Linked DNA regions of Canis lupus familiaris. Each later gene encodes a partner of the first gene's protein in a complex. Links are inferred from orthologs where the notes say so. Each region holds a gene or a part of one and is shown in the gene's direction. Other genes may lie near its edges. The genes, in order: SLF2 and SIMC1.

What was found.
Region 2: the proteins of SLF2 (region 1) and SIMC1 are in contact, whole or in part, in a cryo-EM structure (PDB 7T5P), measured with the Homo sapiens proteins. The link is inferred for Canis lupus familiaris from reciprocal best matches to the Homo sapiens genes SLF2 and SIMC1. Residues at the interface, in NP_060591.3 of Homo sapiens: His738, Val772, Leu775, Lys778, Asp783, Phe786, Gln790, Gly791, Phe792, Thr794, Ser795, Ala796, Tyr797, His798, Tyr799, Cys820, Ile821, Gln825, Ser828, Met831, Glu832, Ile835, Arg836, Asp838, Thr839, Ser841, Asp842, Ser843, Pro847, Lys919; in NP_001295125.1 of Homo sapiens: Tyr426, Arg428, Leu431, Lys435, Leu438, Pro440, Val442, His443, His444, Leu445, Phe447, Gln448, Arg470, Arg471, Phe490, Asp493, Pro497, Val521, Asp522, Lys525, Glu526, Tyr528, Met529, Met532, Lys533, Gln536, Leu537, Arg571, Asn658, Gln661.

Annotation. Positions count from the first base shown.
Region 1 is NC_049249.1:13,791,127-13,795,043, forward strand, and holds the start of SLF2 (SMC5-SMC6 complex localization factor protein 2), read left to right. Parts: upstream 1-1,406; 5' UTR 1,407-1,576; coding exon 1,577-1,716; coding exon of another isoform or gene 1,717-1,768; exon of another isoform or gene 1,769-2,345; intron 2,346-3,917. UniProt on the Homo sapiens protein: Plays a role in the DNA damage response (DDR) pathway by regulating postreplication repair of UV-damaged DNA and genomic stability maintenance.
Region 2 is NC_049225.1:37,895,347-37,899,163, reverse strand, and holds part of SIMC1 (SUMO-interacting motif-containing protein 1), read left to right. Parts: intron 1-3,475; coding exon 3,476-3,628; intron 3,629-3,817.

The DNA of each region.
Region 1 (3,917 bases):
TTTTTTGATGTATGAGAGATCTGTATATTCACTGTTTATCTTTTACCCTATACTTCACAACTTTGTGGGCCATTTTTATTCCTCATTAATTCTTCCTCCTAAGGGCTAAACAGAAAGGAAAAGAGGTGAACCTCAGGTCAGTCAGCCTTACTTAGCTACAGAGGCAGTCAAATCTCAGTACAATAAACTATCTAAAGACCTAAATTCTTTTCTGTCATTTGAGATTTTCTTCCACCCAGGTGATTGAACAGGCCTGCCAATCAAAGCTTGGACATCTTGAAGATTGGTATTTTGGTTTGACATATACGTCATAACAGTACATTACAACAATTAGTATATTACATATATTATATGTCTGTGTATATAAGATGTCAATATCTGATCTGTCTCTGGGAGATTTTATAGTAAAGTATGTAAGAGTAGGTCTAAAGAGCAAAGGAAAAGGAACGCTAATTTGCTCAATACTTATTAAACGACAGACTCCAAACTGTGAAGTTTACACTGCTTATCTTATAGTTTACAATTTCCCAGAAAAGTAGAATAGCCATTTTATAGATGTAGAAATTGAGGCTCAGAAATATTCTGACCAGTCTCCATTTGTAAGAAAAACCCTGGCTGACAGCCTCCAACTCACAAGCCCATTACAAAGGAGATTTGGAGATTGCTGGCAGCTTTCACTAATCTATGCTGTCCACACTTAACATGGGTAATTGAAAGCTGACCCTATGTTCCTTTCAAAAATCTCCAAGGAATCGGGTTGCAGACTTCATGGATAACTCATTTCAACAGCTGAGAAAATGCTTCTGTGGAAGAAAAACAGCCTCTATTTCAGTGGGGTTTTTTCCCCCTTAAGAGAAAAAGCACCCACCACAACACGTTAACAAGAACTCTCACAGAATGGACAAGACTTCAGATCGGGCTGTGCAGATTACCAAGGAAATGGTGACAGCATCAGGGCACTTTGGCCTAAGATGTTAAAGAGACGATGCAATGAGCAGCTGGGGATTTCTGAGGCACAATTGTAGGACACAGGAAGCCCAACCGTTGGCCATCCTCACTGAGGGCAGCTGCCGGGCTCGGGTTTGCTTCTGCAAACCTCGACCTTCGTCCTCGAACAGGCGGCTGTCGCCAGCTGCCGCAGCGCCCGCAGCCGCCCGCGCCGGTTCGCCCCCGCGTGCCTGCCGAGGCCGACGCGGCCCGGATGCGACTGTGCGCTTCCCCCCCCCACCCCCCGCCGCGCACGTGACGGGGGGGGCAGTTTTCCTACCCCCTCCCCTTCTCGAAGCCCCGCCTTCTCCCGAGAGGCTGCCGCTTTCTATTGCTCCACTACTGGAAAGACCGGCGCGGCAGCCAGTCAGAGTGCGACCCTTCAAGTAAGACCCGCCCCCTGTTGGTCCTCAGGTTCCTTCCCGCTCACACAGGAGTCACTTCCGAAGAGAGAGAACCGCCATGAAGAGAGAAGGGGGTGCCGCCCAACTCTGCTCCGACAGCCTCCCCGAGTCCCAGCAGCAAGACGGCAACCACGCACCCAACTTCTCCAGCCACAGCTCATGCCGCCGTCGCCAGCGGCGCCGACATGACAAGGCGCTGCATGCCCGCTAGGCCAGGTTTCCCCTCATCCCCAGCCCCGGGGTCGTCGCCCCCGCGCTGCCATCTGAGACCCGGTAGTACCGCCCCTGCTGCAGCGGGAAAGAGAACAAAGAGTCCTGGGGACAGGTACCGTGCAGAGGGTTGGAGAAGGGGCCGGGTCGCGGGGGCAAGGGTATGAGGGAGGACTGCGGACGCCCGCTCTTTCAGTTCCCGCCATCCTCCGCGAGCTCAGGCCTCGGCGTTCCGGGGCCTGGCAAACCCCTGCCCCGCCTCCGCGCGGGGGCTTCTGGGACTTCGAGTTTCTTTTTCTGTAGTTGGGACGCAGGTCTCGGTGTAGGGACCACAGCCTGGGTGGCTACGGAGAACCCGCCTTAGGTAGACCGTGATTTTTGTCCTTTCCGAGAGCTGGACCCGGGGCCCTAACTGCTAAGTGCATATTGAGGTGGTTTTTTTGTACGTTCAGTTCTGCTAATCGGAGTAGCATAATAGTCTAAAATCTTTTCTAAATTGTGGGTGGAATTGTGTACGATGTGACGAGGGAGACCCTTCCATTAATTACTTAATAGTCCAGTATGCACGATAATTCATACTTAAAGAACATGCAGATTTGGAATGTGATATGTTTTTTCCTCGGCAGCTTTCCGCCTCTCCAAGAGGCTAGATTTTTTTGTGAAGATTTTGTGGGAGCTTTGTAACGAGATGGGGAGTTTTATCAAATGACATCCTCTGACAATAAAAGATGTTTAAATTCTCTACGCACTTGGTACTGTCTTTTTTATTTTAAGTTTTAAAAAGCTTGTAACTTAAGTGTCACAGTAAGTTTATCTTCTAATGTTGTGGTACAGGTCCACAATCCCTTATCTTAATTGTGGAAGCCAGGATGCTATGAAAATCAAAAGTTTTCAGTAAGTTTGGCACCACATCTTACTTGGCAGCCAAATCTGACTAGAAGTAATGGAAGACTATATATGGGCTTTATCACACTGAGTGTATTTGTAAGCTTTGCTGGAGAAATATTGGTGTATGCTTCGGGGTGCAGTGTCAGACCCCACTGGGGGCTTTATGTAATGCATCCGAGTTACCCCCTTTCTAAAATCCAGTAAATTCAAATTCAAAAACATTTGACCCCAAATTTTCAGGTAAGGGCTTGTGAGCTGTTATAATTTTAAAGAGCTAGTTATAAATAACTAATGGACATTTCTGTGCATATGAAATTAGAGAACTGTTCCTACTTGAAAGTTACATTCATGGTTATTTTACAGGTTTCTTGTATGTTTTACCCAAAACCATTTTCCCTCTGGTGTATTACTCGAAAAGGAGCCTGGGATCTAAAATTTTAAGATATAATATACTTTCTTTTAGTAATTACTGTAAAAGCATATTTAGTGTTCTTTTGAATTAGCCACTTCTTAATCCGTTCCCATCTCTTTCCTCAACCAGTAATGGAAGGCATCGTCCTTTACCAGTTTGCAGAACCTCTAGCATTTCTTCCTTTATTCTCCTGTGGCATTGATTTTTTTAGATTTATAAAAACAAATGCATAGATTCTTCCTTAGTCTGGCACTGATACTCGTTTCATAACCAGTTAGCTTTTCTACCAACATCTCACAAACATTGTGGACTCTTAGTAAACCATTAAAGATGGGTGTTGCTCTTCTTATGTGACCTGTGAAGCATACAAAGGACTGGGATTGTTCAAGTTTTGTCTGAGCATTCCAACCTCACTGTGGATAATTGTTTAGGGAAACTGATAGTGTACTGCTTCTCTTTAAGTAAAATGAATATGTTTTACCAGAATTTTGCCAGGAAGTTAATTTTTTACTCTACATATGATGACATTCCTCCTTATGCAGCTGACAATTCTAAATACATCAATCCGAATACAAATTCTGGTAATATGGTTCACTTTTGTGTTACTGTAAGGTACAGATATCCTTAAAAATTAAAACAGTTGGTTTTTGTAATTGTTCACTTTCTTCCTTTTCTCTTGTTTTGTGTTTTCCCTAGGCAATATGTTATTTTTGCAAATATCTTAAGAATTTTTATATAAAAGTTAAGATTTTGAAACACTAGTTGTGAAGACTCATTCTAATTTCTGCTGTTTAACTTAGATTAACATCATACTGTAGTGTACAAAGAAGATAATACAGGCTTGGCACTTGATCCTTTCTGTCTTTTGGCCAGCATGCACTTCAATTCAGCTGCCTCCCTAGATAGGCCCAATCACTGATATTGCCATTCTGTCATCTGCTCTTGTTATGAATCTGTTTAGGTTTTACTCAGTTTTTATAATCTCTGTTTATTCATTCAGCAAACATCTATTGAGC
Region 2 (3,817 bases), on another chromosome or scaffold:
GTCCCGGGATCAAGTCCTGCCTCAGGCTCCCCACAGGGAGTCTCCTTCTTCCACTGCCTATGTCTCTGCCTCTCTCTCTGTGTCTTTCATAAATAAATAAATAAAATTTTTAAAGTCATAAACTACTTTGATTACTGATTATTTATATATGCCCTAATTTTTTCTTCTGAAAGTTTTTAGAATCCTCTTATTGCCCAGTATGCTTGTTGTAGGTCTATATTCACCCACTATACTGGGCATTCAGTCTAGAAACATCCTTCATTCCTAGAAAATAGAGTTTTTATGTCTGTTATCATGTTTTTAATTTCCAAGGACTTTTTAACTTTGTCTCTTATGTCCCCTTTTAAAATTTTTTTTTTAATTTTTATTTATTTATGATAAGCACACAGTGAGAGAGAGAGAGAGAGGCAGAGACATAGGCAGAGGGAGAAGCAGGCTCCATGCACCGGGAGCCCGATGTGGGATTCGATCCCGGGTCTCCAGGATCGCGCCCTGGGCCAAAGGCAGGCGCCAAACCGCTGCGCCACCCAGGGATCCCCCCCTTTTAAAATTAATAAAAAGTATTCTATTCTTGTTTTCTTCTTTCATGGACCCATACATTCTCATATCATTGATGATATTATGGCATTTGTTTTTGTTTATTTTCTGTATAGTCTTATTTTCTCCTAAATTGCTTTTTTAGGGGGAGAGGGGAGTTGGTCTTGGCTACTTTGACCTTTATTTATCTCTCATAATAGAATATTTCCATAAATGTCTGGTAAACCTTGGTAGTCTATCCAAGTTTAAGGGTGACAGACTCAACAGCTGATGGGAGTTCCGAGTACATGGGAGGAATTGTCATTTCTGCACTTCCCTGTAGGTGGAACTGACTGCCTATTTATTTATTTGTTTGTTTGTTTGTTTATTTTTTATTCATGAGAGACACACAGAGAGAGAGGCAGAGACACAGGCAGAGGGAGAAGCAGGGAGCTCCATGCAGGGAACCCGATGTGGGACTCCATCCCGGGTCTGCAGGATCACACCCCGGGCTGAAGGCGGCGCTAAACCGCTGAGCTACCCAGGCTGCCCACCATTTCTTAAAAAATACTTTGTCAATGTCTTCAGGTCTTTCCTGTTGGGCTGGAAAGGTTTTCCAGAGAACACTTCCTATTTTCTACATAAAGGATAAAGACTGGGATGCCAAGATTTTGAAAGACAAGTGTGGGAAAATAACAAGAGTCTCCGCGTCCAGCATGCATATGTTTATGTCATGCCCCTGTTGTGCTTTGATGCCCTTGCCTCCCAGCTGTGCCTGATATCCTAGTACAAAGACCCTCTGTTTTATCTCTGCAAGATGTTAACCTGTAGTTTAGGGTCTAAAATTTTCTTAAAGAGCTTACAAACCATTATGCTCATTTTCCCTTATATCCTTTAATTCTCACTTCGGAGAAGACTTACACTGCCATTTGCACAGCTTAGTGAAGATTCCTTTTTTTTTTTTTTCTTTTTTGGTAAATAGGATTAAATAGAATTGCTTTTCTCTATTGCTTTTGCTCTACTCTTCCTAAACCAGTTTTCTCAATTCTACTAAGTCAGTTAAAATCCATCCCTTTGGGCAGCCCGCGTGGCTCAGCAGTTTAGCACTGCCTTCAGCCCAGGGCCTGATCCTGGAGACCTGGAATCGAGTCCCACATCAGGCTCCCTGCATGGAGCCTGCTTCTCCCTCTGCCTGTGTCTCTGCCTCTCTCTGTGTGTGTCTCTCATGGATGAATAAATAAAATCTTTAGAAAAAGAATAAATAAAATAAAATCCATCCCTTTGCTAAAGTCAGATTAAGAATCATCCTTAAGCATCTCGGTGGCTAAGTGGTTGAACATCTGCCTTTCGCTCAGATTGTGATCCCAGAGTCCTGGGATCAAGTCCCACATGAGGCTCCCTGAAGGGAGCCTGCTTCTCCCTCTCCCATGTCTCTGCCTCTCTCTGTGTGTCTCTCATAAACAAATAAATAAAATCTTAAATTAAAAAAAAAAAGAATCATCCTTAAAGGGAAGGAGCACATGGGTAGCTCAGTTAGTTAAGCATTTGACTCTTGATTTTCAACTCAGGTCATGATCTCAGGTTTGTGAGATCAAGCCGCACATTGGGTTCCATGCTAGGCGTGGAGCCTGCTTACATTCTTTCTCTCCCTCTCCCTCTGTGCCGACCCTGACTTCTCTTCCTCTCTTAAAAAAGAAATCATCCTTAAAGCATGAGGGGCAACCCTGGTGGCTCAGCAGTTTAAGTGCCGCCTTCAGTCCAGGGCGTGATCCTGCAGACCCGGGATCGAGTCCCACATTGGGCTCCCTGCATGGAGCCTGCTTCTCCCTCTGCCTGTGTCTCTGCCTCTCTCTCTCTGTGTCTCTCATGAATAAATAAATAAAATCTTAAAAAAAAAAGCATGAATACACTTGCCTTATTTAGTTAATTGGTAACTTTTGATTTTATGATTAGCATCTCTTAATTGACTCCTCAAATCAAAGGCTGGGACCTTGACAATTACCTGCATCTAACCATGCATCCATCCCCCATCACCTACTTTTGCACCTTCCTGCACCCAAAGTGATCAACATATTGAATGTGCATCATTTCCTTTCCATTTTTATGTAATTTTATATCTAAAAATGTGTTCCTATACAGTATATTTTAGTTCCTTTCTGCTGTATATTAAAGGATATCATGCCATACATAATCTATTGGGACTTATTTTTCACTTTATATTATAGAGTACTAAGGTTTGTCCATACTGTTACTTATCACTGTAGCTTATTCATTTTCACTATGTAGTATTCTATTTTGTGAATATACTTCATTTCCCTTCCATCCTCTAAAATTTCACTGTTGTTGTCTCCTTTCCTTTCTTCCCATTCCTTGTGGATTTTTTAAAAGAATTATTTACTATAGCATCAGTGGGATTTTAGGAGGTAACAAAATTAGAAGTGTGTATTAAATCTACCATTTTTACCTGGGATACCTAAGTGATCATCAATAGTAATTTTGACTGTTTGAGATGGTTTTACCTTACTAACTTTTAGAGCCTTCACCCTGTATATAGTATGACTCTATTGCACATACTCTAAACCTCCGTTATTTGCATTAGTAGATGATACCTAATCCTAGAAAGCCAGCAAGGACCTGAGTGGTCATCCGGTCTGACTTTCCATCTGCTCCAGGAAATGTTCCTGGTCAGGAGGCCATGGATACTCTTTGACCTCAGAGGTACCTTTCAATAATCTCAGGAAAATGTCAATATTTCAGCTAGCTGTTATAAGCTTACTGCAATTAAATGTAGGGTTTCCATTAGACTTGTTTAAATATTGAAAATCACCTAAGATCCCTCTTCATTGCCTTTGGAGAAATCTAGGGGCTTCAGAGCCCAGGTTTAAGGCTGTGGTTTTGAGCACCATACAATAAGACAGAAGTTTAAATTTTTTTTGTTCTAATCTTTTTTCCATTGCAGGGATGTTATCAAGTGGTTGGTCAAAGTAGTAACTGAAGATGGATTAACTCAGCCCCCAAATGGGAATCAAACCTCTTCAGCAACAGGAATCTTGAAGGCCAGCAGTAACCATCCTTCTCCCCAGGCCAACCTGACAAAGAACACCAATCAGCTGTAAGGAGCAGGCACAAATTGTCTTTCCCAGGGCTGTTGGGATTTATTGCAGTAAAGAACAGCAGTATTCCTAAAAGAAGTTTCCACAAAATTAACAGGCTCTTGAAACATAGGCTGATTCTTACTAAAGACTGGCTTAGTTTGTCTAAATTCTATGCCAAAGTTTAACAAAAGCAGATGCTTTCCCTC